Linked DNA regions of Callithrix jacchus. The protein of the gene in region 1 binds, or shares a complex with, the protein of each later gene. Links are inferred from orthologs where the notes say so. Each region holds a gene or a part of one and is shown on either strand. Other genes may lie near its edges.

Region 1 (15,964 bases):
GAGTTCGAGACTAGCCTGACCAACATGGTGAAAACCCATCTCTACTAAAAATATAAAAATTAGGTGGGTGTGGTGGTGGCAGCCTCCTGTAATCTTACCTACCTGGGGGGCTGAGTCAGGAGAATTGCTTGAACCTAGAAGGTGGAGGTTGCAGTGAGCTTAGATTGCACTTCACTCCAGCTTGAGTGACAGAGCAAGACTCCACCTCAAAAAAAAAAAGGAAGGAAGGAAGGAAAGAAAGAAAGAGAAGAAAGAAAGAAAGAAAGAAAAGAAAAAAGGAAAGAGAAAGAAAAAGAAAGAAAGAAAGAAAGAAAAAGAAAGAAAAGAAAGAAAGAAAGATCTAACAAAACAAGGACGAGAGGAAAAATAATGGCAGTTACTGACAGCATCTGCTTAGGTTGCCCTTAGTTAATAGAGTTTTGTGTTATTGTTATTTGTTCTTAACTCTGGAAAGTAGACACTCTTATGCTTTTAACTATTTTTCATAGTGCTTAGCAAAGTCTGGGCACATGTGCATATGGCTGGTTCATTAATCACTGTGTTTATCATTGCACTCTGATTTTGCTGCTATGTGCCCTCCTCAGTAGCTGCTTTGGTTCATTTAACTCGGGGATGCTGATGCACAGACCTTGCGACCATATGTTTTCACTAAAGGTCTCTGGATCTGACAAGACTTTTATTGCTCCTGGGGACTTGTGAGTTTGCTACCACATGGGTGAATTTTTATTTGAGATTCTGATTGTGAGTTGCTGTCTGAAGTCCTGCATGAGATTTGTGGATCTTGCAGAATGAGGTTAGTTTAGACATGACAAAGGCTCTGATCACTTCAGGTCAGGGCAGGGAGTTCATGCCTTTCCTTACCTAGGGCTCACTGCACTGTCTGTTTCTTCAGATGCTGAGGAATCACAGCTTTGCTCATGTTACTGAGAGTGTGGGAGGGCAGTCAGAAGGAGGGTGACCTTCTGCAGGCTGCTGTGAGGCAATGGAATAGACTCCCTGCATTTTTACAAAAGGGGTTATTTTAGTTCTTGAGCTATTTAGTGGTGCTAAGAAAAGAGCTGACACTATAACTAGTTTTTTCTCATAAGGAAAGGAAATCTGTTGTTTTAGTTTAATGATTTAGCATTATTTATGGAACTTAATGTACCCCGTTTATAAAGGATAAGAAAGGGAAAAACTGATGAAATTGGATCTTGGAATGTTTTCATTATCTTCAACTGCTGTTCTATGTAGTGAGTTATCTCCTGGAACAAATTGGATTTAGATTGCCTCTTTTTAAGGATATCCCTGGATTTTTAACAGAAGTTGTTCAGTTGCTTCATTTGTTCATTTCTAGAGCATGTTCTGAGATGAATCAGCTGAGCCTTATTTCTCTTTAACATACCATTGAAAGGCATTAATTACTCTCCAGTCTCTGTGTACTTTATTAAACTAGTGTTTTGGCCATATTGGTATATCACCCAAGTTATTATTTATTTGATCTTCCTATTTAAGTCAGGTCACTTAAAAATACATTAATTTTAAAAAGAAACGTCACATCACCCTGGTAAGTGGGAAGCCTATATGAATTGTCATAAATAGAATGTAACAATAAAAATGAAACAATGCTGTTAAATTGTAGCTGGATCCCGTGGCGTGTAATGGCAAGGCAAGACTTTCTTTTCCAGTCAAAAAGAGAGGTTACAAGTGTTAATGAGAATTTAAAGCAGTAAACTTTCTCCTTGATCTAACCAGAAGAAGCAAAAGAGAATTAGAAATCACTCTGTGATTCCTGTTACCGGGTTTCATGCTACAGTGCTGCTCTTTGCTTTTGGAACTCCACTTTAAACATCAGTGATTGGAAAAGTCCCCAGAAACTACTGCCCAAGTAGTTATCACTTGCTCAGATATCTCTGTGTATGAATGTTGACAAGATCACCATGCCCCAGAGAAGCTGTCCATAAAGAGCATTTATATTTAAGGTACACTTTTTTCATAGCTAAAGATTTTCATTCTGTTATCCATAGGATGTATTTTATTTATTTATTTTTTTGAGACAAAGTTTCAGTCTTGTTGCCCAGGCTGGAGTGCAATGGCACGATCCCAGCTCACCACAACCTCTGCTTCCTAGGTTCAAGCGATTCTCCTGCCTCAGCCTCCCAAGTAGCTGGGATTACAGGCATGTGCCAACACAGCTGGCTGATTTTGTATTTTTAGTAGAGAGGAGGTTTCTCCATGTTGGTCTTGAACTCCCCACCTCAGGTGATTTGCCTGCCTTGGCCTCCCAAAGTGTTGGGATTACAGGTGTGAGCCACTGCCCCCGGCCTTATTACTATTTTATGTGTGTGGCGGAATCTTGCTTTTTTGCCCAGGCTAGAGTGCAGCTGTGAAATCTTGGCTCATGTAACCTCTGCCTCCCAGGTTCAAGCAGTTCTCCTGTCTCAGCCTCTGGAATAGCTGGGACTACAGGTACATGCCACCATGCCCGACTAATTTTTGTATTTTTAGTAGAGACAGGGCTTCACCATATTGGTTGGGGGGGTCTTGAACTCCTGACCTCAGGTGACCCAGCCAGGACATACTTTAAATTCTTAAAAATTGTAACCATTTTTCATTTGTCGCAAGACCTGAGAGAATAGTATACAGTGAAATGAAGTTCTAAATTTTCTTTCAGATGTTTACAGATTTTTCTTTTATGCCTTTAATGTGTTACTAAAGTTTAAATGTAGAAAAGTGTATTTTTTAGGGCTAACTTAAATAATTTTATGTACCATTGTAGAAACAAGTTAAAAAGTATATGAAAACTTAATTATTACTGAATAATTGGCTAGTGTTTGTTCATTTAATCTGCTTTTACAGTCCTGGCCTTGAATTTTTCCAGAAGGCATAGTTTTGATTAGTGAAGAATAGTTTGAATATTTTCTTCTGTTGCCATATTTTACTGATTGTGTTTTAAAGACGGGGTTTCACCATGTTGGTCAGGCTGGTCTTGAACTCCCGACCTCGGGTGATCCGCCCGCCTTGGCCTCCAAAGTGCTTGGATTACAGGCGTCAGCCACCACGCCCAGCCCTGATTTTTTTTTAAGATACATAATTTTGTAAAATTTGACGTCTCTGACAGCTAGATATATCTTATAGTTACTGTAGGTCATAATTTAATTGGTAGTTAGCTTTTTCTTATTTGTACATAAAATGGTGTATCTCAAAGTTAATGGATCTTAGCATTGATGAAATGTAATAGAACATATTGGTAGTATCTACACTTCGATCAACTATATGAGGAGGACTCTGGGAAGGTGGCAGATAGGAAGCATCTGCCTCGCTGCTTGGACAGCAGTTGCACTGGCAGAATCTGACTCATGGAACTGTTTTGGAACTCTGTAGTCTAATAAAGGCTTGCAGTTTCCAAGGGAAGGCGTGGACAGCATATTGTGTTTCATACTGGTCAGTTTTGGTTCTTAATGCAGTAGCAGCTACCCGTCCCCCTTCTCCAGCTGCTAGGGAGAGAGCTGTTTGTGTGTTTCTGGAGCAGCTTACACACAGCTTGTAGCATTCATGGTGGGCAAAAATAAGCCGTTTTCCAAATATTGGGTATTTTGTGCTCTGATTACTGATTACTGCATCTAATCATAGAGTTAAAAAGAGGTGGCAGCCGTTGTTGTTGGAGCTCCCCACATTGCAAAAATGGGTAAAGGAATTTAGTAGACATTTCTTCAAAGATACAAAAATGTCCAATAAGCATATTAAAAGATGTTCAACATCACTAATCATTAGGGAAATGCAAATCAAATCTATAACAAGATACCCTCTCATACCCCTTAGGGCAACAATTATCAAAAAACAGAAAATAACAACTGTGGGCAAGAATGTGGAGAAATGGGAGCCCTTGTGCAAGTGTCGGTGGGAGTGTAAAATCGTACAATCATTACGGGAAACGGTATGGCATTTCCTCAGATAATTAAAAATATAATGATAGTATCTGACATTTTCAGTTCTGGGTATATACTCACAAGAATTGAAAGCAGGGTCTCAGAGATACTTGTATATCCATGTTTTTAGCAGCATTATTCACAATAACTTAGATGTGGAAGCAACCCAAGTGTCCATCAGCAGATGAATAGATAAGCAAAGTGTGGCATATACATACAGTGGATATCATTCAGTCTTAAAAAGGAAGGAAATTCTGGCACGTGCTGCAGTGTAGATGAACATATGAAACAAGCCAATCACAAGAAAACAAATATTGTGTGATTCCACTTACCTGAGGTACTTAGGGTAGTGAAAATCACAGATACAGAAAGTAGAATGGTGGTTGTCAGCACTTGGTGGGAGGGTGGAATTGGGAGTTGTTTAATGGATACAGAGTTTCAGTTTTGCCCTGTGAAAAGCGTTCTGAAGGTGGATGGTGGTGGTGATTGTACCGTATGAATGTACTTAATACCACTGAACTCAACTCTTAAAACTTGTTAAGATAGTAAATGTTAGGTATATTTTACCACAACAATAATTTTGGGGGAAAGTATTCAGGCTGTTTATAAATACTGTGTTTGTATATGTCCTGGCAACAAATTTATTCCATTCCATACAAATACTTCATTATGTGTCTATACTGTGATTTAGCTGGCTCTATTAGTTTGCTAATGATGCTGTAACACAAACTGGATGGCTTAAACAACAGAAATGTTTTCTAGTTCTAGAGGCTGGAAATCTGAAATCCAGTTATTGACAGGATTGGTTCCCTTTGAAGGCTGTGAGGGAGAGTCTATTCTATACCTCTCCCCTAGCTTCTGTTAGCCGCAGGCCTTCCTTAGCATTTAGAGGACGTTTTCCCTGTGTCTTCCTGCATCTTCCCTCTCCAGGTCTGTCTCTATTCAGGTTTCCCCTTGTCTAAGGACACCAGTCATATTTATTCAACCCAGTGACCTCTTGATCACTGTTTGCATGTAAGGTCATATTCACAAGTACTGGGACTTCATTTTGGGAGGACAAAATTAAATCTGTAACACTGGCTGATACTTTTATGAACATTTATGTTACTTCTGGTTTTCCTGTGTTTAAGTTAGCCTTGTAGGGAATATTCTTGTATATATGTCCTTTGTGTTTTTGTGATTAGATTTGTGGGGTCAGAGAATACACACAATTTTGCTGTACATTATGAAAGTAACCTCAAGAAAGTATACGCCAGTTTATAGTCCCACTGTCAATGTAGAAGTACACACCTATTTTCCACACACTAAATAACACATTGGTTTTTAAAATCTTTTGAGCCTTTTTCAATCTTTTTATTGTTTTTGTTTGTTTGAGATAGGGTTTCACCCTGTTATGCAGGATGGAATGCAGTGGCAAAATCATGGCTCACTGCAGCCTTGACCTCTTAGGCACAAGTGATCCTCCCACCTCAGCCTCCCAAGTAGCTGACACCACAGATACATGCCATCACACCCAACTAATTTTTTTATTTTTATTTTTGTAGAAATGAGGTCTTTCTGCGTTGCCCAGACCTTTTTTTTTTATTGCAGTAAAAATGGTGAAAATTTACCATCTTAACCAGTTCTAAGTGGACAGTTCAGTAGTGTTAAGTATATTCACATATTTGGATGTAGATTCACAGATTGCCAGAACTCTTTTCATCTTGCAGATCTGAAACTCTATATTAAATAACTCCATTCTCCCCTCCCCATAGCTCTAGGCAGTCACCATTCTACTTTCTGTTTCTATGAATTTGACTATTCTAAATAGTTCATATATGTAGAATCATACAGTATTTGTCTTTTTATGACTGGCTTATTTTGCTTAGCATAATGTCCTCAAGGATTATCCATGTTGCGGCATCTGACAGGATTTCCTTTATTTTTAAGATTTGAATTGTATTCTCTTGTGTATGTTTATACTACATTGTATATTAGAGGGGTTTGGAAAGATTGGAAAAAGATAAAAATGTAGGAGAGGTACTTTGGGACCAAACGGTTGGGGGTGTCATTCTCTCAGATAGTTAGTGCTTTTTTTGAGACTGACTCTTGTTGTCACCCAGGCTGGAGTACAATGATGCAGTCTTGGCTCACTGCAACCTCTGCTGCTTGGGTTCAAGCGATTCTCCTGCCTCACCCTCCTGAGTAGCTGGGATTACTGGCATGTGCCACCACACCTGGCTAATTTTGTATTTTCAGTAGAGACAGGGTTTCACCATGTCTGCCAGGCTGGTTTCAAACCCCTGACCTCAGGTGATCCACCCACCTCGGCCTCCCAAAGTGCTGGGATTACAGGCGTGAGCCACCATGCCTGGCCTCAGATGGTGCTTATGCCTACTGTAGCTTAGCTTATTTGTTTATTTTCTGTGTTTTCTTTAATAATACATCTCTGTTCTTCAGAATGCTTTTCCTTTGCCTTCCTAGAAATATCTTTTAGGCTGACCTTCTTGTGAAAGACTGTCTTTTAGGATTTCCGGCAACTGATTTGTGTTTTCAAGGTGGAAAGAGAACAGTTGTCTTAAAAGAATTTTCAACAGGGTCCGCAAATAGTTGACATTATGCACATTTTGATATTTGTCATGCAGTAGGTGCTATCTCTGTTTGTGGAGCATACCACGTAGTTTTTTTACCACTCTAGTGCATCCAAGTAGATAGGATCAGATTGAGAGACGTGTGCGACTCCCCTGGTAAAGTGAGCTCTTTACTGGAGCCAGTGATTAACTTCTATCACAAAATGCCCGGACTTGGAGTTATGCTTTTCGTGTGCTTTATTCTTGGGAGCTGTGCTTAATTCATATAAAAAAGTAACCTAATTAAAAGTAGCCTGTAGAATTCCGTAATCATGATTGTGATTGAGAAGTATTTTACGTGCTTCGTTTGAATTGTTTCATTTAACCCTTACAGCAACCCTGTGAGGTAAGTTCTATTATTCTGATTTTTCAGATGAACAAACCAAGACTGCTAGAAGTTGGTAGTGCCAGGGTGTGAAGCAGGTGGGCCCCAGAACCTCTCTCCTGCCTCTTGTGCTCTGCTCCTTCAGCAGCGGGTGGTGCCATTGCATGTTGCAGGCCGGGAGTCACGGTATACATAGACTGTCTTTCTATATAATGAGCTTATTTTAGTGCCAATCATTTTTAAATTCTTGGACTCTTTAGGAAAAAGACATCCACCTGGTGGAGCACCGTGGCAGGTTGCCTCAGCGTGGGAAGTCCCATGTACTTCCGTTCAGGTGCTCAGGAATTTGGAGAGTCGGGATGGTGGAAACTTGTTCATAACAAGCCCCCAACAATGAAACCTGAAGGAGAGAAGTTGTCTGCCTCGACTTTGAAAATAAAAGGTACTGTTGTGAGAACAATACAAAAGATGCTAGTCAGACCAGAGCCAAGCAGGCGTGAGCCCAGGAGATGCCCCTGCTTCCACTGGCACAGCTCCAAGGCTTCTCTGGAGCTAGTCTCCTTAACACTTCTGTGATGACACTTATGTGTGTGTGCTAGAAATAAATGCCACATAAAAACATTTTATCACTTCCTAATCAAGCTATCAGTTTTACAAATTTCCCTGGGTATCTGAAAGGTTCAATGTTTTCCATCTGATTTTTGTTTTTAAACGTACCATCTCACAAAGGTGAAGAGATGTTTTAAAATTCCCATAATAAATAACATAATGAATTCCCTATGCCTTCCACCTCACTTGGACATTAACTCCTGACCATCTATTTTATCTAAATCCCCAATACTTTCCCCATTCTTAAAAAATCCCAGGAATGAACATTTTCATTCTTTTTTTTTTTTTTTTGAAACGGAGTCTTGCTCTGTCCCCTAGGCTGGAGTGCAGTGGCACAATCTTGGCTCAGTGCAACCTCTGCCTCCCTGGTTCAAGCGATTCTTCTGCCTCAGCCTCTCTAGTAGCTGTGACTACAGGGGTACACCACCACACCTGGCTAATTTTTTGTATTTTTAGTAGAGACAGGGTTTCACCCTGTTAGCCAGGATTGTCTTGATCTCCTAACCTCATGATCTGCCCGCCTCAGCCTCCCAAAGTGCTGAGATTATAGGCATGAGCCACGGTGCCCAGACGCCACATTTCATTCTTAAATGTCTCAGTGTGTATCTCTAAGAGATCAGGCAGGATTCTTTCCTTTTTGCAGCCTGACCATAATGCCATTTTCACATGGAAAAAGATGTTAATAGTAACTTCTATCACATATTGATCAGTTTTATAATTTAAAAAGGTTTTAATGTGCTTTTACATTTTTATATTTACTTATTGGTTTATTTATTTGAGATAGAGTCTCGCTCTGTCACCCAGGCTGGAGTGCAGTGGTGCAATCTTGGCTCATTGCAACCTCTGCCTCCTGGGTTCAAATGATTCCTGTGCCTCGGACTCCTGAATAGCTGGGCTTAAAGGCACACACCACCATTCACAGCTAATTTTTTTGTATTTTTAGTAGAGATGGTGTTTCACCATGTTGGCTAAGCTCGTCTCGAACTCCTGACCTCAGGTGATCCACCTGCCTTGGCCTCCCAAAGTGCTGGGACTACAGGCGTGAGCCACTATTAAAACATTTTTAAAAAAAGAATGGAGATAGGGTCTCACTAAAACATTTTTTAAAAAAGAATGGAGATAGGGTCTCACTATTTTTCTCAGGTTGGTCTTGAACTGCTGGGCTCAAGTGATTCTCCGGCCTCTGCCTCCAAAAGTGCTGGGATTACAGGCGTGAGACATCATGCCTGACCTTTTGTTACTTCAAACACGCTATAATTATACAAATTTGTGTACATGTGAAAATGTGATAAATTCCTGGAAGCAGAGTTTCTATATCAAAGATCATATTCATTCAAAATTTTAATCAGGATTGCCAAATTATCCTCCAAGAGACTATAATAAGGCCAGGTGTGGTGGCTTATACCTGTAATCCCAACATTTTGGGAGGCTGAGGTCAGGAGTTCAAGACTAGCCTGGCCAACATGCTGAAACCCCATCTCTACAAAAATACAAAAATCAGCTGGTCATGGTGGCACGGATCTGTAATCCCAGCTACTTGAGAGGCTGAGGCAGGAGAATCACTCAAACCTGGGAGGCGGAGTTGTAGTGAGCCACGATCACACCACTGCATTCCAGCCTGGGTGACACAGCAAGACCCTGTCTCCAAAAAAAAAAAGGAAAGAAAGAAACTTCCCATTAAAATGCCCTCGAAAATGCCCATTTTCCCATACATTTACTGAGCTTTACCAAACTTTTTTTTTTTTTTGGCTTACTGCAGCCTCCACCGTCCAGGCTCAAGATCTATCCACTCAGCCTCCCAGACTGCTGGGATTAGAGGTTTGCACCACCATGCCTGGCTAAACTTTTACTATTTACCAGTTCCAGTAGATGAAAGATAGTATTTATGGCCGGGCGTGGTGGCTCACACCTGTAATCCAAGGACTTTGGAGGCCAAGGTGGGCGGATCACCTGAGGTCGGGAGTTCAACACCAGCCTGACCAACATGGTGAAACCCCGTCTTAAAAAAAAAAAAAGAAAAGAAAGTATTTATTTGTTTAAATTTGCATTTCAACTTCTTTTTTCTCAGGAGATATTTAAAATCTTTTTTAGTTTAGGGCATTAATTGAACATGAAACTATTCATAAAGATAAATTAGCAAAAGAAGCTAAAGTTGAGTAGTTATTTTAAAATTTAGATATGGGTTAAGCAGTCCAAATCTGAAAATCAGAAATCAAAAACGCTCCAAAATCTGAACCGTTTTGAGCACCAACATAACCCTCAAAGGAAATGCTCATTGGAGCATTTCAGATTTTGGATTTCTGGGTTTGGGATGCTCAACCAATAAGTATAATGCAAGTATTCCAAAATCCGAAAACATCTGAAATCTAAAACATGCTTGTTCTGAAGCATTTCAGATGAGGGATGCTCAGCCTGTATTTATTCTTTTCTGGCAGCCTCAAAACCAACTTTAGATCCCATCATTACTGTTGAGGGACTTAGAAAACGGGCAAGTCGGAATCCTGTGGAATCTGCCATGGAATTAAAAGAGAAAAGGTCTCGAACTCAGGAAGCAAAAGATATTAGAAGAGCCCAAAAGGAGGCGGCTGGTTTTCTTGACAGGAGCACGTCTTCTACCCCTGTAAAGTTCATAAGCCGAGGCCGTAGGCCAGATGTGATTCTTGAAAAAGGAGAAGTGATTGACTTTTCCTCCTTGAGCTCCTCTGACCGCACCCCGCTGACAAGCCCATCTCCTTCTCCTTCTCTGGATTTCTCTGCCCCTGGGACACCTGCCTCTCATTCTGCCACGCCCAGCTTGCTTTCAGAAGCAGATCTGATTCCAGATGTGATGCCCCCGCAAGCCTTGTTTCACGGTAGGACTTTGCTTGCTTTGGTCTTTTATTTTGGGTATGGGCCATAGTATAGATATACAAGTTTTCACCCTGTGGGTTTTGTGCTCTGCATTTCTTCCTTCCTGGGTCTTGATGACACTGTTTTGTATTCTGCACAGATGATGATGAGATGGAAGGCGATGGAGTCATAGACCCAGGGATGGAGTACATTCCACCCCCTTCTGGGTCAGTAGCTTCTGGGCCAGTGGTTGGGAGCAGAAAGAAGGTCAGAGGCCCTGAACAGATAAAGCAGGAGGTAGAGAGTGAGGAAGAAAAACCAGACAGGATGGATATTGACAGTGAAGACACAGATTCCAACACGTCTTTGCAAACAAGGGCTCGAGAAAAGAGGAAGCCTCAGCTGGAGAAGGACACAAAGCCGAAAGAGCCCAAGTATACTCCCGTGAGCATCTATGAGGAAAAGCTGTTGCTCAAGAGGCTGGAAGCTTGTCCTGGTGCGGTTGCCATGACTCCGGAAGCTCGGAGACTGAAGCGCAAACTGATTGTCAGACAAGCGAAAAGGGATAGGGGATTACCACTTTTTGACTTGGATCAAGTTGTTAATGCTGCTCTTCTGTTAGTTGATGGGATTTATGGAGCCAAAGAAGGAGGAGTTTCCAGACTTTCAGCTGGACAAGCCATGTACCGAACTACCTGTCAGGACTTCAGAATCCTTGACCGATACCAGGTGAATGCAGGCATTTGCTATAAAGCTGGTGGGGGCAGGAGTGGAGGTGGGGCAGGCTGTACCAGGCAGTTGACATGGTTATGCTGTGACCTTTTAAATCCTGAGTAGTTTGGGAAGAGAGAAGTAATGAGCAAGGGGAACAAAAATCACTGGGCTTTGTTTGTGACAGTTGTTTCTTAGAAGAACACCTTAGTACATCTGGGTTTTCTTTTTCTTTAACCTATAAGTGTTCTTTATCTCTCTCTCAGAGGGTAGCTGTACATGGTTTGTGTTGTAGCTTTGATAGATTTGTCGAGGCCATGACAGTGTCTCGCACACTGTGCTGCACAGGATCTGAAGGTAGAGATCTGCGTAGAGGACAGCATGAAGAAATAGTAGCCAAGGGATCAGTGTGGTGTCAGTGTTGCCCAAAGGATGATCAGTGGAACCCAAATTTTGTGGATGCTTCTGGGAACATTTAATTCCACTTAGAACTGTCTGCATATACCCTAGCACTGGGAGGAACAAGAGGCCTTATTTCACTATATCTTTGTCTGCACTTGATACTAGCCTCTAAGTTTTGCTGATTGGCTGGCTGTAAAGTGAAATCTTGTTTTTATTTACATTTCTTTGGTTAGAGGTGAGGTTAAATTTCATGGTTGTTTCTCTGCAAATTGCCTGTTTGGGGCCTGGATGCTTTTCTGTCTTCTTCTCTGGAAGCTAGTGGATTCTGCTCTCCATTGCTGGTGTTCTGGTATTATTCAGTGATATGCCATATGTAGGGCTTATGTCTTTCCTTGTGCTGGACATGTGGTGTTTGGGCCCCTTCAGTTTGAAACTTTCTTTCCTGAGTATGGAAAAGTTTTGATCTCCTGTCTTCTATTTTTTTTGTTCCCTCATTTTAGAACTCCCCTATTATTTGGATATTGGACCCTCTAGATCAAAAGTTGGCAAACTTTTTCTGTAAATAAAAAAATATTTCTGCCAGATAGTAACTATTTTAGGCTTTGCCGGCCACAAAATCTCATTGGGAACTGCTGTTGTGATTTGAGAGCCATAGTGAATGGGGCTGTGTTCCAGTAAAAAGAATGGTGGGGAGTGCCTATAGTTTACCAGGATCTCTACTCCAGATAGATCCTCTTTTCTTTTTTCTTCTAATTCCAGTATTTCCTGGGAAGCACACAGTATTAACCAGCCTGCATACCAGGAGCCAAGTTGGGAGGGCTCAGGAGCCTACCATTGAGGAAGTAAATTGACTCTCCCTGTCTTCAGGACGGTACTCACCGTTGGCTTCCTGTGTCCAGAATTTCTCTCTTGAGCCTCTGCAGTCTTCTGCCTGTAGAGGGAAAGATCATTTCCTGGCTGTGGGCAGTGTAATTAGTATACGGGTATAATTAGAGGCTTTAACCTCTTAAAGAGCCTCTCTGTCGAAATCATACCCCCCAGGCTCTAAGGCTGATGACTTCAGTGGCTATACTTCCCTGAGGCTGTGTTTTGTAAATCACCCTGCTCCTGGCTTAGCTTTACCACTGGCTTAGGTGGTATCAGCTCTCACTGAATGGCCCCATCTGGAGCCTTTGTTAGACCTTCCCAAAAATCAGACCTCCTGGCTTCTGGGGGAGGGCAGCCACCCAGCTAGAGAGAGTGGAGGGATCTGGGGATCATACTGCTTTCCACATGCTGTTTGCCTGATTCTTATTTTAACTGTCCCATTTAGTCCCAGTTCCAGAGGAATCTGCTGCTGCTGCCTGGATTTTAGCCAGTTCTGCAGTATAGATTGGGTTGTTAGCTCTCATTCAGCTTACCCAAAGCCACTTTGGGATTTTGGCGTTAAATCAGTTACTATTTGTCCATCTGCTTACCACTTACTGTTCTAATTAAGTCAGTTTCTGTAGTTTTAGTGGGATTTTGGGAAGTAGTAAAGCTATATACTTGTGTTTTAACCCAGTCTTAACTTGGATTTTTTTTTTTTTTTTTTTTTTTTTGAGACGGAATTTTGTTCTTGTTTCCCAGGCTGGAGTGCAATGGCACAATCTCTACTCACCACAACCTCCGCCTCCTGGGTTCAAGCAATTCTCCTGCCTTAGCCTCCCAAATAGCTGGGATTACAGGCATGCACCACCACACCTGATTAATTTTGTATTTTCAGTAGAGACAGGGTTTCACCATGTTAGCCAGGATGGTCTTGATCTCCTGACCTCGTGATCCGCCCAACTCGGCCTCCCAAAGTGCTGAATTACAGGCAGGAGCCACCGCACCTGGCCAACTTGGAATTTTAGTATAAATTTTAATGTATTTACACAGGGGTGGCTATAAATGCATTTATTCAATCCATACTCTTGTTTTATATTTATTCTTTTAGTGCAAGTTAAAGCGGCAGTTGCTAATGTAGAAGCAGCAACACGTTATCTAGAAGATCTAGCTAAGATTATTGATGGAAGTGGCTACACTAAGCAAGATGTTCAGTGTAGGTGAAACAGCCTTCTATTTAAAGAAGATGCTGCCTACAACTTTAGTAGTTAGAAGTCAGGGCCTCGGTTCAAAGCTTCAAAGGACAAGCCAACTCTCTTCTTAGGGGCTAATGCAGCTGGTGACTTTCGGTTAGAGACAATGATCATTTGCTCTTCCAAAAGTCTTCGGGCCCTTATAAATTATCCTAAGTCTACCCTGCCTGTGCTCTGTAAATATATCAACAAAGCTTGGATGACAGCATATCTGTTTACAGCATGGTTTACTGAATATTCTAAGCCCACTATTGAAAGCTACTACTTGGAGAAAAAGATTATTTCCAAACAATTGCTGCTCGTTGACAATATACCTGGTCACCCAAGAGTTCTGATGGAGAGGTATAAAATTAATATTATTTTCATGCCTGCTAACACAGCATCCATTCTGTAACCCATGATGGATCAAGGAGTAATTTTGATTTTCAAGTCTTAAATAAGACTTTTTGTAAGGCTATAGCTACTATAGATAGCGATTCCTCTGATGGATCTGGGCAAAGACATTGAAAACCTTCTAAAAAGCTTTCACCATTCTAGATGCCATTAAGAACATTTGTGATTCATGGGAGGAGGTCAAAATTTCTCTCTTTTTTTTTGAGACAGAGTTTCACTCTTGTTGCCTAGGCTGGAGTGCAATGGTGCAATCTCGGCTTACTGCAACTTCTGCCCCTCGCGTCCAAGCGATTCTCCTACCTCAGCCCCCTGAGTAGCTGGGATTACAGGCATGTGTCACCATGCCTGGCTAATTTTTTTTTTTTTTAAGTGGTCAGGCTGGTCTCGAACTCGTGACCTCAGGTTATCTGCCCACTCCAGCCTCCCAAAGTGAGGGATTGCAGGCATGAGCCACCGCGCCCGGCCACAGTTTTAACATTCACAGGAGTTTGGAAGAAGTTGATTTCCAAGCCTCTTGGATGACTTTTGAGGGGTTCAAGACTACAGTGGAAGATGTCACTGTGGATGTGGTGGAAAGAGCAAGAGAACTAGAATTAGAAGAGGAGCCTGAAGATGTGATCGATAAGTGTCATGATAAAACTTGAATGGATAAGGGTTGCTTCTTATGGATGAGCAAAGAAAGTGGTTTTATAAGATAATATCTACTCCTGGTAAAGATGCCATGAACATTGTTGAAATTTGACAGCAAAAGATTTAGAATATTGCATAAACAGTTGATAAATTAGTGGCACAGTCTGACTTCAATTTTGAAAGAAGTTCTTTTGTGGGTGAAATGCTATCAAACAACATTACATGGCCGGGCATGGTGGCTCAGGCCTGTAATCCCAGCACTTTGGGAGGCTGAGGTAGGTGGATCACCTGAGGTCAGGAGTTCCAGCCTGGCCAACATGGTAAAACCCTGTCTTTCCTAAAGACAAAAATTAACCGGGCATGGTGGTGTACACCTGTAATCCCAGCTACTTGGAAGGCTAAGGCAGGTGAATCACTTGAACTTGGGAGGTAGAGGTTGCAGTGAGCTGAGATCTCATCCCTGCCCTCCAGCCTGGGCGACAGAGCAAGAGTTCGTCTTAAAATCAACCAACCAAACAAAAAGAAACAAAGAAACCCGGCGTCACATGCTACAGAGAAATCTTTTGTGAAAGGAAGAGCCAATCAATGTGGCATACTTCATTCTTGTCTTATTTTGAGAAATTACCCCAGCCATCCCAACCTTCAGCAACCACCACCACCCTGATCAGTTGGCAACCATCAATATTGAGGCAAGAGCCTCTACCAGTAAAATGATTGACTCACTGAAGGCTCAGATGATTGTTGGCATTTTTTTTCTTTTTAGCAATAAGGTATTTTAAATTAAGGCATATACACTTTTTTAGACATAGTACTATTATTGTACACAATGACAATATATTGTCAGCTTTTTTTTTCTTTTCTTTTCTTCTCTTTTTTTTTTTTTGAGATAGCCTCGCTATCACCCAGGCTGGAGTGTAGTGGCACAATCATGGCTCACTGTAGCTGTCAGTTGACTTCCTGGGTTCATGCAGTCTTCCCGCTTCAGCCTCCTGACATGCTGGGATTACAGGCATGAGCTACCACACCTGGCCTTAAACAATTTTTATATGCCTTGGAACACCAAAAGTTTGTGCAGCTTGCTTTATTATGATATTCACTTTATTGCAGTGGTCTGGCACCGATCCTGTAATGTCTCTGAGGTGCACCTGTATTTTAAATTCCCAGTCCAGTAGTTGTAACATCTTTGCCATATCTCAGTCTGGTTTTGATGTTTGTTCTGTTTTTTTCAAGTTGTGTTTTTTGCCTTTAGTATACCTTGTAATTTTTTGTTGAAAGCCAAAAATAATGTTCTGGGTAAGAGGAGCTGTGATAAGTTGGCTGTTGGAAATGTGGGAGGTGTGGGCAGGGAAAGCCCTCTATAAGCTCTGTGAGTAGTTCTCAGTCTTTTGAACCTGTGCTCTGGGCTGTGGACTTCAAAAGTGCTTCTCACTTTTCTCCCCAGTCAGCTGG
Region 2 (16,064 bases), on another chromosome or scaffold:
ATAAATTTAAGTATCACTGTGGTAATTACAATAATGGAAGTATATACAAGTTATAAAAGTAGTTTAGCAGATGAGAAATTAAGCTGTTAATGAGGAGGGATATGAGGTGGGATTTCTCAGAGAAGATTTTCTAACTGGAGTTTGAAAATGGAAATGGAGTTTCTTAAGCAGACAAGAAACACAGGGTAAAAATCAAAGCATGGAGACAAGAAATAGTCAAGTGTTGAAGATGTAAAAGCAGTTTCAGAAGCATTAAGCACCAGATGGTTTGTGGCAGAAAACAAGGCTGGAAATTTAGGCAAAGTCCAGATAATAAGAGCATCAATTTAATCCTAAAGAACTTGGATTTGTGCAGCAGGTGATGGGGAGCCAGAGATGATAAATACCATTTATTTTTCCTTTTCTGCGTTGAAAAGAAATCTGTATTATCATACATGCAACAAACATCAGTTGAGCCCTCAGGTATTTTGCTGGGCACTGGATTACTTAATAGAGTTGTGCCATTAAAGATCAACATAAAAGACATCTTTGTTGATAAGGTAAATAGCCTAGATTTCATTTATAGTCTCTATCCTCTCAATTGATTCTTGGCATGGGCTTGCAGGACAGTATTTCTAACTCTGTTGCTAACGCCAACACCAACACTTTGAATCATTTCTGCTAGGCAGCAGATTTGTCAGCAACCCACTTTATAAACTGTAATTAGTTTTCCATAAAGAGCAAATTATTTCCTTTATTCCCTTTCTAAATTTCAGAGCTTGTATTACACTTTTGTTATACATACATACACACATACAATATCTACAAATTTCTATTTTAAGTTAGCCCAAGGAATCAAAATCTTTTCAGGCTACAAACTCTTCTATTTAAAATAGAATTTTCTATTATAAAACAAGAAAATGAGAAAACTTTCCAAAATGAAGGTAATAGACACCAAGAAGGAGTAAGAAAGGTCCTTAGAAAGAAGAAAAATGCCCAAGAATTAACAAATTCTAAGTACTAGTGGTTGAGTACCCCTTATCTGAAATACTTGGGAACAGAAATGTCTCAGACTTACAATTTTTTTAGATTTTGGAATATTTGCATACATATAATAAGCTATCTTGGGTATGGGGTCCAAATCTAAACACAAAATTCATTTCTGTTTTATATATGCTTTATAAACATAGCTTGATGGTAATTTTATATAATGTTTTAAATAAATTTGTTCATGAAACAAAGTTTTGGCTGCCTTTTGACTGTTGGATCAGGTATGAAATTTTCCACTTGTGGTATTGGTGCTCAAAAAGTTTCAAATTTTGGATCATTTTGGATTTTGAATTTTCAGATTAGGAATGCTCAACCTGTACCTAAGTAAAGAATACCAAGATAGAGGAGCCAGTCTGGATATCAAATCACAGAATTACATGGAGAAGCAATACACAAGTCAAATGACCATCAGTTAATTCTCTATTAGAGACACAAAAGAACAAGTAAAACTTGAAAAATCAGAATCAATGATGGCAAAGAAAGGAATGAGCAGCACCTTGTTAAAGACAGTATTCTTTTAATGTACAAAGCATATCCCTAAATGTGTTGCCTATCCATGTTCTCCATATATGAAACAATTCTGAAACACTTCAATGAAAACAAGTGATCTGAAATTGATTGCCAATTTGGTAGAGAAAAAAAGCTTACAGTTATCCCATTACAATTATTCTCCTACAAGAGAAACAGAGGCGGCTGGGTGGGTGGCTTACGCCTGCAATCCCAGCACTTTGGGAGGCTGAGGCGGGTGGACCACCTGAGATTAAGAGTTTGAGACCAGCCTGACCAATATGGTGAAACCCTATCTCTACTAAAAATACAAAAATTAGCTGGGCATGGTGGCAGGCTCCTGTAATCCCAGCTACTTGGGAGGCTGAGACAGGAGAATCGATTGAACCCAGGAGGCAGAGGTGGCAGTGAGTGGAGATGGCACCACTGCACTTCAGCCTGGATGACAGAGGGAGACTCTGTCTGAAAGGAAAAAAAAAAGAAACAGAGACAAAGAAAATATGCTAACATTGCAAAGAATCATTAATTTAGGCTAGATATGGAGATGAGAAGCTTGAATAAGAAGGTTGCTCAATTTAAGATTGGACATCGTGAAGTCTTTTTCTGCCTCTAGACATAGGATGGATATCTTGCTGCTAGCAAGGGAATAGAAAAGATTTCCCAAAATTCTGTCAAGCCTGGTGATCCCATTTGTTTTTGGAAATGAAAGCCTAATTAAGAGACTCCCTAGGGACAGGTCAAAGGAGTTCTTTTATTCTCACCATCCTTATCCTATTTCCTTGATATCTTAGTCCTTCCCTCTAATTTAGTCTTCCCTAAGACTAAAGAATGCACATTGTGAAAGTTTCCACCTTTGCTTCCTCTACTGTAAATGCATTGACTATTAACAAAATTAAGAGTTTTAGATCCCACCTTCCTTATCTCTAAGCTGATGTTTATTTCTTAAAGTGTTTTTGAATGAAACTTCACACTAAACATTCTGGTAATACTTGTTTTTTTATTGAATAACACTTTTTTAAAATATTGGAGTCTGACTAAAAGATTGCAAAACCCCGGACTGGGACTCAAGATGGCACGGTGAGAACAACCCAGGATCGAAGCTCTTGGGGAACAAGCGGAGGGTGAGTCAGGTCCGCATTTCCAGATGGATCTTTGTTGCCCACAGAACGGGGAAATTCCCAGAAGTAAAAGAGACGCGGGATGCCAGGCAGAGGTTTTGGCTGGCGCAGCTGGCAGCCGGTGCAGCCGGTGGCCAGCGCTGTAGCGCAGCGGTGCTCCACAGCGCTCCGCACAAAATGCACTCGTCCAGGTGCCCTGTTGAACCGGCAATCTGAGACTTGAGAGGGCAGATTTGCATATCTACCTGACTGAACAGGACTTGGACAGTGAGCCAGGCCAGGAGATTCCAGGGAAACGGCGTTTGGGGTAGCGCAGTGGGAGAAACAAAATGGCGATTCCAAATGCTCCTGGTGGAGAGTTTCACTGCACCAGGATGGTGCAGCTCGGTGGAGGAGGGGCGTCCGCCATTACCGAGGCAATCCGCCCCTACTGAGGTACACTCCCATTCCTGACACAGCCTGCCACTGCCAAAGCAACCTGCCACAACAGAGAGACTCTGCCGCAGGGCATAGCCCATGGTAGCAGGGCGGAGACCGCAGACGCAGGGCAGAGCCTGCAGCGACAGGGTGAACCTCACACCAGCAGGGCGGAGCCTCGGCAGGCAAATAGTGACTAGACTGCCTCCAAGTTGGGCAAGACAGCACAACGGATGCTCACAAAGAAAGCCCCAACACCCGAGACAGAGCATCTGAGAAAAAAAAGGGTTTTTTTATGAGTTATGCTGCAGCAGAATTAAACGTAGCAGCCTAACAGCCCTGAATGAACAACAGAGCTCACAGCTCAGCACTTGAGCTCCTATAAAGTACAGACTGTCTCCTCAAGCAGCTTCCTGACCCCTCTATATCCAAAAGACTGGAATTTGGCAGGCATCATTCTGGGACAAAAATAGCATAAAAAAAAAACTGGTAGCATCCCTCACTGTTCTGCAGCTGCTATAGGTGCACTCCAGAAAAGCAGAGCCTGGAGTGGACCTCAGCAGTCATACAGTGAAGGGGCTAGACTGGTAGAAGGAAAACCAAGTAACGGAAATACTTCATCATCAACAATCTGGGCGTCCACTCAGAGACCCAATCAAAAAGTCAGCAACTACTCAGACGACAGGTGGATAAATCCACAAAGATGGGAAGAAACCTGTGCAAAAAGGAGGAAAGCACTCGAAACCAGAACACCTCGCCTCCTACAAAGGACCAAAACTCCTCACTAGCAACGGAACAAAGCTGGATGGAGAATGACTGTGACAAAATGACAGAATCAGACTTCAGAAGGTGGATCATAAGAAACGTTTGTGAGCTAAAAGCACATGTTTTCAATCAATGCAAAGAAACTAAGAACCTTGAAATAAGATTTGAAAAAAATTCGAGAAAATGATAATCAGAATGGATAACTTACAGAGGAATATGAATGAATTAAAGGAGCTGAAAAACACAATACGAGAACTTCGCAAAGCATGCACAAGTTTCAACAGCCAAATTGACCAAGCAGAAGAAAGAATATCAGAAGTTGAAGATCAACTCAATGAAATAAAACGAGAAACCAGGATCAGAAAAAAAGTGCAAAAAGGAATGAACAAGGTCTCCAAGAAATGTGAAACTATGTGAAGAGACCTAACCAACGTTTGATAGGCATACCAGAATGTGACAAAGAGAATGAATCCAAGCTGGAAAATACTCTTCAGGACATTATCCAGGAAAATTTCCCCCACCCAGCAAGACAGGCCAACAATCAAATGCAGAAAATACAGAGAACACCACAAAGATATTCCACAAAAAGAGCAACCCCAAGGCATATAATCATCAGATTCAACAAGGTTGAAATAAAGAAAAAAATACTAAGGGCAGCCAGAGAGAAAGGTCGGGTAACCCACAAAAGGAAGCCCATCAGACTCACAGCAGATCTCTCAGCAGAAACACTACAAGCCAGAAGAGAGTAAGGGCCAATATTCAACATCCTTAAAGAAAAGAACTTTCAATCCAGAATTTCATATCCAGCCAAACTGAGCTTCATAAGTGAAGGAAAAATAAAATCCTTTGTGAATAAGCAAGTACTCAGAGAGTTTGTCACCACCAGGCCTGCTTTACAAGAGCTCCTAAAAGAGGCAATACACATAGAAAGGAACAACCAGTACCAGACATTCCAAAATCACACTAAATGCTAAAGAGCATCAACATAATGAAGAATCTACATCAACTAATGGGCAAAACAGCCAGCTAGCATCAAAATGGCAGTATCAAATTCACACATAACAGTATTAACCCTAAATGTAAATGGACTAAATGCACCAATCAAAAGACACAGACTGGCAAATTGGATAAAAAGCCAAAACCAATCAGTGTGCTGTATCCAGGAAACCCATCTCATATGCAAGGATACACAAAGGCTCAAAATAAAGGGATGGAGGAAGATTTATCAAGCAAATGGAGAGCAAAAAAAAAGCAGGAGTTGCAATTCTCATCTCTGATAAAATAGACGTTAAAGCAAGAAAGACCAAAAGAGACAAAGAAGGCCATTACATAATAGTAAAAGGATCGATAAAACAAGAAGAGCTAACAATCCTAAATATATATGGACCCAATACAGGAGCACCCAGATACATAAGGCAAGTTCTTAATGACTCACAAAGAGACTTAGACTTCCACACAATAATAGTGGGAGACTTTAACACTCCACTGTCAATATTAGACAGATCAACCAGACAGAAAATCAACAAGGATATCCAGGGCTTGAACTCAGACCTGGAACAAGCAAACCTGATAGACATTTACAGAACTCTCCACCCCAAATCCACAGAATATACATTCTTCTCAGCACCACATCACACCTATTCTAAAATTGACCACATAATTGGAAGTAAAGCACTCCTCAGCAAATGCAAAACAACTGAAATCATAACAAACAGTCTCTCAGGCCATAGTGCAATCAAGTTAGAACTCAGAATTCAGAAACGAACCCAGAACCGCACAGCTTCATGGAAACTGAACAACTGGCTCTTGAATGTTGACTGGATAAACAATGAAATGAAGGCAGAAATAAAGAAGTTCTTCGAAACCAATGAGAATGAAGACACAACATGCCAGAATCTCTGGGACACATTTAAAGCAGTCTCTAGAGGAAAATATATAGCAATAAGTGCCCATATGAGAAGAGTGGAGAGATCCAAAATTGACACCCTATTGTCAAAATTGAAAGAGCTAGAGGAGCAAGATCAAAAAAACTCAAAAATCAGCAGAAGATAAGAAATAACTAAGATCAGAGCAGAACTGAAGGAGAAAGAGACATGAAAAACCCTTCAAAAAATCAATAAATCCAAGAGCTGGTTTTTTGAAAAGATCAACAAAATAGATAGACCACTAGCCAGATTGATTAAAAAGAAAAGAGAGAATAACCAAATAGGTGCAATAAAAAATGATAAAGGGGAAATCACTACAGATTCCACAGAAATTCAAACCATCATCAGAGAATATTACAAACAACTCTATGCACATAAACTAGTAAACCTGGAAGAAATGGATAAATTCCTGGACACCTGTGTCCTCCCAAGCCTAAACCAGGAGGAAGCTGAAACTATGAATAGACCAATACCAAGGTCAGAAGTCGAGGCAGCAATTAAGAGCCTACCACACAAAAAAAGCCCAGATCCAGATGGGTTCACAGCCGAATTCTACCAGACAAACAAAGAGGAGCTGGTACCATTCCTTCTGAAACTATTCCAAATAATCCAAAAAGAGGGAATCCTTCCCAAATCATTTTATGAGATGAATATCATCCTGTTACCAAACCCGGCAGAGACCCAACAAGAAAGGGAAACTTCAGGCCAATATCCATGATGAACATAGATGCAAAAATCTTCAATAAAATATTGGCAAGCCGATAGCAACAGCAAATCAAAAAACTTATTCATCATGATCAAGTAGGATTTATCCCGGGGATGCAAGGCTGGTTCAACATACGCAAGTCTATAAACATAATTCACCACATAAACAGAACCAAAAACAAAAACCACATGATTATCTCAATTGATGCAGAGAAGGCATTTGACAAAATTCAACAGCCTTTTATGCTAAAAACCCTCAATAAACTCGGTATCGATGGAACATATCTCAAAGTAATAAAAGCTATTTACGACAAACCAACAGCCAATATCATACTGAATGGGCAAAAACTGGAAGCATTCCCTTTGAAATCCGGCACTAGACAAGGATGCCCTCTCTCACCACTCCTACTCAATATAGTACTGGAAGTTCTAGCCAGAGCAATCAGGCAAGAAAAAGAAATAAAGGGTATTCAAATAGGAAAAGTGGAAGCCAAATTGTCACTCTTCGCAGACGACATGATAGTATGCCTAGAAGACCCCATCGCCTCAGCCCAAAAACTCCTGAAACTAATAAGCAACTTCAGCAAAGTCTCAGGATATAAAATCAATGTGCAAAAATCACAAGCATTCCTCTACACCAATAACAGACTTAAAGAGAGCCAAATCAAGAACGAACTGCCATTCACAATTGCTACAAAAAGAATAAAATACCTAGGAATACAACTCACAAGGAACGTAAGGGACCTCTTCAAGGAAAACTACAAACCACTGCTCAACGAAATCAGAGAGGACACAAACAAATGGAGAAACATTTCATGTTCATGGTTAGGAAGAATTAATATCGTGAAAATGGCTATACTGCCCAAAGTAATTTACAGAATCAACGCTATCCTCATCAAGCTACCATTGACTTTCTTCACAGAACTGGAAAAAACCACCATGAACTTCATATGGAACCAAAAGAGAGCCCGCATAGCCAAGTCAATTCTAAGCAAAAAGAACACAGCGGGGGGCATCACACTACCGGATTTCAAACTATACTACAAGGCTACAGTAATCAAAACAGCATGGTACTGGTACCAAAACAGAGATATAGAGCAATGGAACAAAACAGAGGTATCGGAGGCAACACAACATATCTACAACCATACAATCTTTGATAAACCTGACAAAAAACAAGCATTGGGGAAAGGATTCCCTATTTAATAAGTGGTGTTGGGAGAACTGGCTAGCCATGTGCAGAAAGCAGAAACTGGACCCCTTCCTGACACCTTACACCAAAATTAACTCCAGATGGATTAAAGACTTAAACATAAGACCTGGCACCATAAAAACCCTAGAAGGAAATCTAGGCAAAACCATCCAGGACATAGGAGTAGGCAAGGACTTCATGAACAAAACACCAAAAGCATTGGCAACAAAAGCCAAAATAGACAAATGGGACCTAATCAAACTCCACAGCTTCTCCACAGCAAAAGAAACAGTCACTAGAGTGAATTGGCAACCAAGAGAATGGGAAAAAATTTTTGCAGTCTACCCATCTGACAAAGGGCTGATATCCAGAATTTACAAAGAACTCAAACAGATTTACGGGAAAAAAACAAACAAGCCCATTCAAAAATGGGCAAAGGATATGAACAGACACTTTACAAAAGAAGACATATATGAAGCCAACAATCATATGAAAAAATGCTCATGGTCACTGGTCATCAGAGAGATGCAAATCAAAACCACATTGAGATACCATCTCACGCCAGTTAGAATGGCGATCATTAAAACATTTGGAGACAACAGATGCTGGAGAGGATGTGGAGAAACAGGAACACTTTTACACCTTTGGTGGGAGTGTAAATTAGTTCAACCATTGTGGAAGACAGTGTGGTGATTCCTCAAGGCTTTAGAAATAAAAATTCCAATTGACCCAGCAATCCCATTACTGGGTATATATCCAAAGGACTATAAATCGTTCTACTATAAGGACACATGCACACGAATGTTCATTGCAGCACTGTTTACAATAGCAAAGACCTGGAATCAACCCAAATGCCCATTGATAATAGACTGGATTGGAAAAATGTGGCACATATACACTATGGAATATTATGCAGCAATCAGAAATGATGAGTTTGTGTCGTTTGTAGGGACATGGATGAATCTGGAGAACATCATTCTCAGCAAACTGACACAAGAACAGAAAATGAAATACCGCATATTCTCACTCATAGACGGGTGATGAAAAATGAGAACACATGGACACAGGGAGGGGAGTACTAAACACTGGGGTCTATTGGGGGGAAAAGTGTAGGCCCAGCACGGGGGTGGGGGTGGAAGCTGGGGAGGGATAGCCTGGAGAGAAATGCCAAATGTGGGTGAAGGGGAGAAAGGAAGCAACACACACTGCCATGTGTGTACCTATGCAACTGTCTTTCACGTTCTGCACATGTACCCCAAAACCTAAAATGCAATAAAATATTAAAAAAAAAAAAAAGAAAAGATTGCAAAACCCCACAAGTATCTTTATAATAAAGTTATATAATACTTTGTAAAGTTTCAATTCGGTTTTATGTCCTTCTAATTTCAAAGATTGTGGTTGCATATTATTTATCCAGGTTAAATTCCTGTTGGAATGATACTGACAGTGTTTCACATAGTCCCCTACTACCAACATTCACAAGGAACATCCAGGAGTCAAGGTAAGCTTCATGATGCTAACCCTTAAGAGACCACGACTCTAATGACCACCCCAAAGACAGCATTCTAGCCTAGCTTTGGTCTGCAATTCACTTCAGAGCTTCGGGGCAATGCCACAGCTGCAACTGATTGGTGTACGTGCTTGTCAGTCACATACAGAGGGTGGAGCCTCAAAGCCCGGATATAAACGAGACGCCGTGTCGTACGTCATCACCGAGCGACTAAAGCGGAAAAGGGAGGGGGCGGGGCTGTGAGCAATCCTTGGCGGCCTGAGAAGGTGTCATGGCTGCTGCCACGGAGCTTACTCGCCCGAGTAGCGGTGACAGGAATGTGGAGCGAAGATGCAGCCCCAGCCTCTCCCGAGAGGTGCTCTGCGAAATCTTTCGCTCCCTGCACACCCTGGTTGGACAGGTGAGAAGTGGCCTCAGGGATTGAGGGTATGGAAACCATCCGGCCTCTCCCCCTCATTCTTTTCCTCTAGCGGAGGCCAGAGGCAGCGAGGCCTGCCAAGGTCTGAGGTGCGGCCCCTGAAGCCGAGGTCGGGGAGGAGCCCGGGCCGAGCCGTCTCAGTCGGAGTGAGGAGGATGGCGGTACCGGTTGCCAAGTGGTTTACCTTGCAGCTGTCCTCCCCAGCAGTGGGTGAGGATGGTTTAAGTGAAAACCCGGCCCCGAGAGGAGCAGACTTGGAGAGAATGAATGTGGAAAAGCTTAACTGCGGATTTATGAGGCGCCTCGCGCTCAGGCTCCTTTTTCTTCCAACTTACTCAATTACGGGAATTGGTTGGTCAGTAGGCCTGAGATTTATAGAAAAGCGCGCTTATTAGCTTTTTTCAGGGGCTAGAGGGAGTAATTTGTTCTTATGAGTCACTTGGTTTTGTTTATTTCTTCTTTCCTTCGGGCTGTTTTGTGCATCTATTACCCTTTTAAATGGAGAGGAAAGTAAAAGGAATTCATTTAAAATACTTCTAGCGTAAAGTTGGATGAGTTATCCCTCTTTGATGTTGTTTGCAATAGAACGGGCGTTATTTAACTATTATTAAACGGGCGTAGTTTAACTGGCTGATAAATCGCTTTTGCAGAAATGTGGTAAAATTGGTTTTAAATTTAAATGGACTTCTTATTCTCTGTGATCAAGTCACTGTTTCGTTTCATGGTGTAAAATTCAAAGCAGATTTTAAATGTGAAACAGTTTAAAATTATGCTTCTTCACCTGCTTATTAAAAGGAAATATTTTCTATCTTACATAGACCATTTTCTAGCCGTAAAAGTTTGTTTTGGAGCTGGTACTAGTGCCTGTGGACACAGCAGGCATTTGTGTCAAAGACAATGGTAAATTCCTATAAAAATAGAACATTTGTCTGATTTGTGAAAATTATTTTTTTAAAGCCTTGAGTAGATGGAGAATCAGTCTTTTAAAAAGTTACTAAAGTAGTTTTAAAAATCGTAGTATGTTGTGTCTTACAAAGAACATTACTGTAAGTTTAGCGGTTTTATGTAATGACGCAGTTGTTAATGAAATCTGCTAAAAGATACAACTTTTAAACTCAATTGTTTGCCAAGTACTTACCAAAAACATTTTTTTAAACACTTGGGGTCTTTTGTTATTAACATTGTAGTCTTAAGAACCAAAACCTCTAAATGGTTTAAAAGTTAGAGAACTTTTTATGGCGACGTCGGAACTTGTTTATTTTCTAATGTCAAGATAAAAAAAGTTTATGCTCACCTATTAACAGAAGATGGAATATTTAAAAAAAATATTGAGCAATGATTTAAACTTTTCTTTTGAAATATTTTGCATACTGAATTTTTCAAACTCATTAGAAAATTTTAATGATTCAAGTACGGTAAAGTACAATTAAAGAAATGATTACAGTTTACTTATGTCACTTGTCAAAAATGTTGACAGTAAATATTTGGTGACTTTACTGTGACACAGTGAAGGGACCTCCTACACAAGTGTCAAAAATATGATTGTTTCATCAATTAAATGTAAACCACTTTCAAAATACTCTGTATTTTGAGAAATGTTTTTTAAGAGTGAAAGCCAGAGTTCAATACTTATAAAATTGCCCCCCCGAGAAATCAGTATTTTCTTTTGCGACCAGTTTAAAGGATTTTTAAAATGTATGTTGTAACATACCTAACTTATCCTGTGTCATCCCTAAGTATCATTGTATTATTAGATCTCCTCAGTAGGAAACACAAAACTGAATGTTAAAAATAATTTTTTACTTCAGATCACAAAATTTACTAATTTTAACCTTTTTGCTTGCCTCTGGATGGCCCATCTTACCAAGCTGAACAATTACTTATTTTTAGCTTGGATTTTTGTATTAATTTAGTAAAGTTAATGAAACTACATATTTAAATAGTCTATATTAATAGCAGACTAATAGAGATTTTCAAGTGAATGGTTTACTCTTCCAAGTTCTGTAGGGCAAAATGCATAGGATTCATGTGACTAATAATGAATGTCTTGAATGAATAGTTAGATGAATTAGGATAGTTTTATAATTAATTTGTGACATTATGTGGTTTTCTTAAAAGACCAATTATTCTTAATTGCACTTGAAGGTTTATATAATTCTGCTGAATTGAAATGAGAATATGAACCAAACATTAAGACTTATTTTTCTATACGTTATTTTCTCTAGAAAAATGTGATACTTTGCTTTGGTTGAGGATTTGCCTGCTTTATCCCCAAGCTGTATTCATAAGTTTTCTATAATCGAGTATAGATCTCTTTGAAGACTACAAAAGTATATTAATGGGTTACTTCCATACATAATATGGGTTGTTGTGTAGCAAAATCTTTATAGGCATTAAAGTAATATAAATTAATGCATTAACTTTAAAGTCTTAATATGTTCTAATCTTTGCCAGTGCAGCCTACATGAAATTTCATATATCTTTACACTTGTTTAATATGGACTTTTAAATTCTTCTGTTCTTATCTTAAAAGGGCAGTAAATTTCTGTCACATAGTGTTTATTCAATATATTATCTTTTTATTGGTAACCTTACATCTTTTTGATCTTTGTACAGTGATTCATCTTTATAACTCCTAAAATCTGTATTTGAACTAACGTAACAACTTTATTTTGTAGAAAAGATGATGAATTTTGAATTAATTATGTAACTTGTTTCTTTTATGGAATATATTCTTATGCTATCCTGTAAACATATGTCCCTAGGAAAGTTTATGATAGTTCACTTTTATTCACTCAAAAGACTGCAGATGGGTGCTATCACTGTAAAATTTTCATTCATTTTGATAATAATCTTATATTCAGGTTCTTTGTAATTTTCTGGGTATGATTTTATTCTGTTAGATCACCAACTGATACAAATTTCCATATAATGAGCCCTCACATCTTACCATTTAGCAAAAGATCTGGCCATTTCATCCAGTCTGACAACTTATTTCACTATTGTGGAGAAGTCTTTGTTTTTCAGCTTCAGACTTCCATAGCTAACTAATAGTTTTTTATTTGAAATAAACATGTTGCCATTTATCCCTGCTTTTAGTATGTATGAGTAATCTTGACTTTTAAATTAGTTTAAAATTTGGTTAAAGGTGAAAACAATAACAATGTGATTTGGAGAACATCAGAATAGTGATATATATCTGGTATGTATTTGTGTACGTACTTAAAGAGAAAAATGCATGTTAAAACTTTCACAAAACAGTTGTGCTTCCTCTGTTTACGGCTCTGAGCTAGAAGTAGTAGGATTCTGAATAGGGTAAGCCTATTTTGGACTCCATCCAAAGGTTTGTAGATATTGAAGAATCAAAAGAGCCTTCATCTTTTCATCTTTCATGAATGGTTTCACCTCTAAAATGATCCCGTTACACAGACCCAAGAATAGAATTTGAATGACATGTCATTTTGTTTTTGTTTTTTATGAAAATCTGTAGCTTTCGTGGCCATTTAAAATGGTAACTAGGTAGAGCATTTCAGTGTAAAACTTGATAACTTTGAGCAAAATAGACACGTTACTCTTGAAATCCTTTATTTGTGACAATTCCATATGTACAGTTTAATCTTATAATTTTTGTGATGTTGCTGGTTTGCCTTTTTGAAGCTTAACCTCAGAGATGATGTGGTGAAAATTACAATCGATTGGAACAAGCTCCAAAGCTTTTCGGCATTCCAGCCTGCGTTGCTCTTTAGTGCACTTGAACAACACATTTTAGATTTACAGGTAAATTTCTTGTTAGAAATGATAACCCGATATTGAAAACAGAAATTAATTGTGGTTAAATTAGAGTATTTGTCAGTTCTAAACACTCTATTAATAGTGTTGCTAATAAAAGGTTATTTACATCCAGATTGGATCTAAATCTGTTAATTTCAGTAGTGATCAGGACAGTTAAGGGAATATAGCCCAAAAGACTAATGTGGGTATGAGAGTGAATGAATGCAGTTCTGTTCAATTCTAGACCTGCACTGAAAATTCAATACAGTTCCATCTATGGTGGGTTATAATTAAGCAATAAGACACGGCAGGTGTGTGTCATGCTATGATAATGATTCCATGCCTTGGGTGAGTTTGGAGGCTCATGGAGTGCTTTCAGTGGTTCAAGAAGGGGCATTATCCCAGCATGACACATCCTGGAGTGTCTATTGCAATTAAACAGTTTCAGCATAGTTTTTAAAAAGAAAGTAATTTCTGTGACATTAATGTCTCATCTTAGTAAGTAGCCAGTCACTGTTTTCTTTTTCTTAACAGTTTGAAATAATTTATTCTTTATATTAGAAGCTAATATTGAACTGGTATTTATAATAGCATTGTTATATTTTTAAGTATTTCATGTTATGACCTTGCTAGTTTGTAATTGAACATCTTTCCAATTATAATTGATGTAAGTTTGCAGTTTATCTCTAATTAAAGTGTAAAATGTAAAGTGTCAAAAAGATAAGTGGAAGAACTGTTTGGATTGGTCAGTTTACTGTGATTAAGATGTTATACGGTTTCAGGAGAGTATTTGGTATAGCAAACAAGGGAAGCAAAATTGTGGATATGAAAAAAATAATTGGAACGTTATTAGTGTTAGTGTGTTTTGACTAATGGAATAGGCATTAATTTTCAGCTCTCCATTTATTGACTTTGTGGGAAATTTTAACTGTTTCACGTTAAAAGTAATAGTTAACCCTGTTTTCAAAGGGCAGAGCAGTGAGCTATAGAACTCAAATGAGGCCTAATTGTGTGGAGTGGGGGAGGAGAACAGTAAATGGATAATATCATTTATATTCTACAATAGGGGTTTTTTTCCCCCTGTAGTATAGTGATAGGCCTCTGCCTGTTTTCTGCCATAGATTTTTTTTTCTTGTTAGTTTTGTTTTTTAAAATTTAATCTTATGGCCCAAGAAGATATTTGCCATGTCAGGAAAAGTCTTGAGTGTTCACTCAGCCTAACACCTATATATTTCCTGTCTATGCTTCCTCATTCACATTGGCCAACTGCAGTTTCAAGTGGAGAATCTCCAGTGATACAGTGATAATGCAGGGCTTTGCTGAGTGAGAGCACTGGCTCTCCTGTTAAGGAGGAAAAATACTAAGCCTTAGTGTTCTGAGGAGGCATTTGAATGACATGTTAATTAAGTGGCATTGGTGCCAGAGGCTGAAGGCTTTGATTTGGCACAAAATAAAAGATAAGTGACAGAATGATTCTCTCAAAGAAAATTTTAAATTTCCTTAGGTTTTCTAATCTTTTTTCTTTTTTCCTCTCTTCTTTTAAAATTTATAGCAAATGATAATGGTTACAATAGCAAAGAATAGTAAATACTTATATGAAGTCAGATCTATGTGTCCTGGTGTACTAACTTTTTATATTTAGTAATATTAAATATTTAATTTAGCAGAAATTTATGTAAATATATTAAATGTGTAATTAATTTGGGTCAGTTTGAATCTCAGCAGATGGAATTGTGTTGTTCTCAGCCTTTTTTAGCAAAACTTCAGTCTCCAGTTAAAGAGGAGAATACAACCGCTGTTGAAGAGATAGGAAAAACAGAAACGGGGAACAAAAATGAAGTAAATGACAAATTTTCCTTTGGCGACCTACAAAAGGAAGAAAAGCACAAAGAATGTGATTTAGGAGATGTGAAAAAGACACAGATCCATTTTGATCCAGAAGTAGTTCAGATAAAGGCTGGAAAAGCAGAAGTAAGAAGTTTTTTTGGTGGGGATGAGAGGGTATTACTTTTAAAAATCTTATGTTTACACTGTTAAAACTTGTTGTTTGTAGATTGACAGACGAATATCTGCATTTATTGAAAGAAAGCAAGCTGAAATCAATGAAAACAACGTCAGAGAGTTTTGCAATGTTATTGATTGTAATCAAGGTAACTACCTAGAAATTAATTTTCATAGGATTTTAAGTACAATTTTTATAGTTGCTCTAATCTTTTATTTATTTTTTAAATGAATGGCTTTAAGAACACAATTCAGTTTATTTCACAGGTTTAGTTAGTAACTAAGGCAGTAGACTTTTCTTCTGCTTAATAATAGACTATGTTGCAAATTGGTTTTGATTTTGGTTACACAAAAATCAAATAAATGCAAACATTAAAAGTGTTTACCACAGGTGAAGATTATTTTAAAGTTCCTTTAGGAAATGGTGGTGAGTTATGAAAGACAGGGTTGATCAATCTCAATAGTAAAAGGAACTAAGCTGTATGAATTTCAAACCTATAAATGTACTATGAAATCATGATGTTAATATATGTGAACTTAGTAAAGTTAATATTCCTCCAGAGGGAACAGTTTTCTCACTACCCCTGAGCTGTTTGAAATGTCCTATGTCACAATACAACCAATTTATCATGAAGACCATGATGTCTTGCTTTTTTCCTTTCTGTCATAGTGCATGCATTTGCTGCTTTTCATCAGATTCTCCTTT

What was found.
Region 2: KAT14 (region 1) and MBIP share a complex: the UniProt entries of both Homo sapiens proteins name them as parts of the ADA2A-containing complex. The link is inferred for Callithrix jacchus from reciprocal best matches to the Homo sapiens genes KAT14 and MBIP.

The regions. Positions count from the first base shown.
Region 1 is NC_133506.1:25,190,520-25,206,483, forward strand, and holds part of KAT14 (cysteine-rich protein 2-binding protein), read left to right. Parts: intron 1-7,102; coding exon 7,103-7,284; intron 7,285-9,886; coding exon 9,887-10,303; intron 10,304-10,440; coding exon 10,441-11,009; intron 11,010-15,964. UniProt on the Homo sapiens protein: Component of the ATAC complex, a complex with histone acetyltransferase activity on histones H3 and H4. May function as a scaffold for the ATAC complex to promote ATAC complex stability. Has also weak histone acetyltransferase activity toward histone H4.
Region 2 is NC_133509.1:70,906,537-70,922,600, reverse strand, and holds the start of MBIP (MAP3K12-binding inhibitory protein 1), read left to right. Parts: upstream 1-9,420; 5' UTR 9,421-9,439; coding exon 9,440-9,568; intron 9,569-13,243; coding exon 13,244-13,363; intron 13,364-15,103; coding exon 15,104-15,328; intron 15,329-15,410; coding exon 15,411-15,507; intron 15,508-16,064. UniProt on the Homo sapiens protein: Inhibits the MAP3K12 activity to induce the activation of the JNK/SAPK pathway. Component of the ATAC complex, a complex with histone acetyltransferase activity on histones H3 and H4.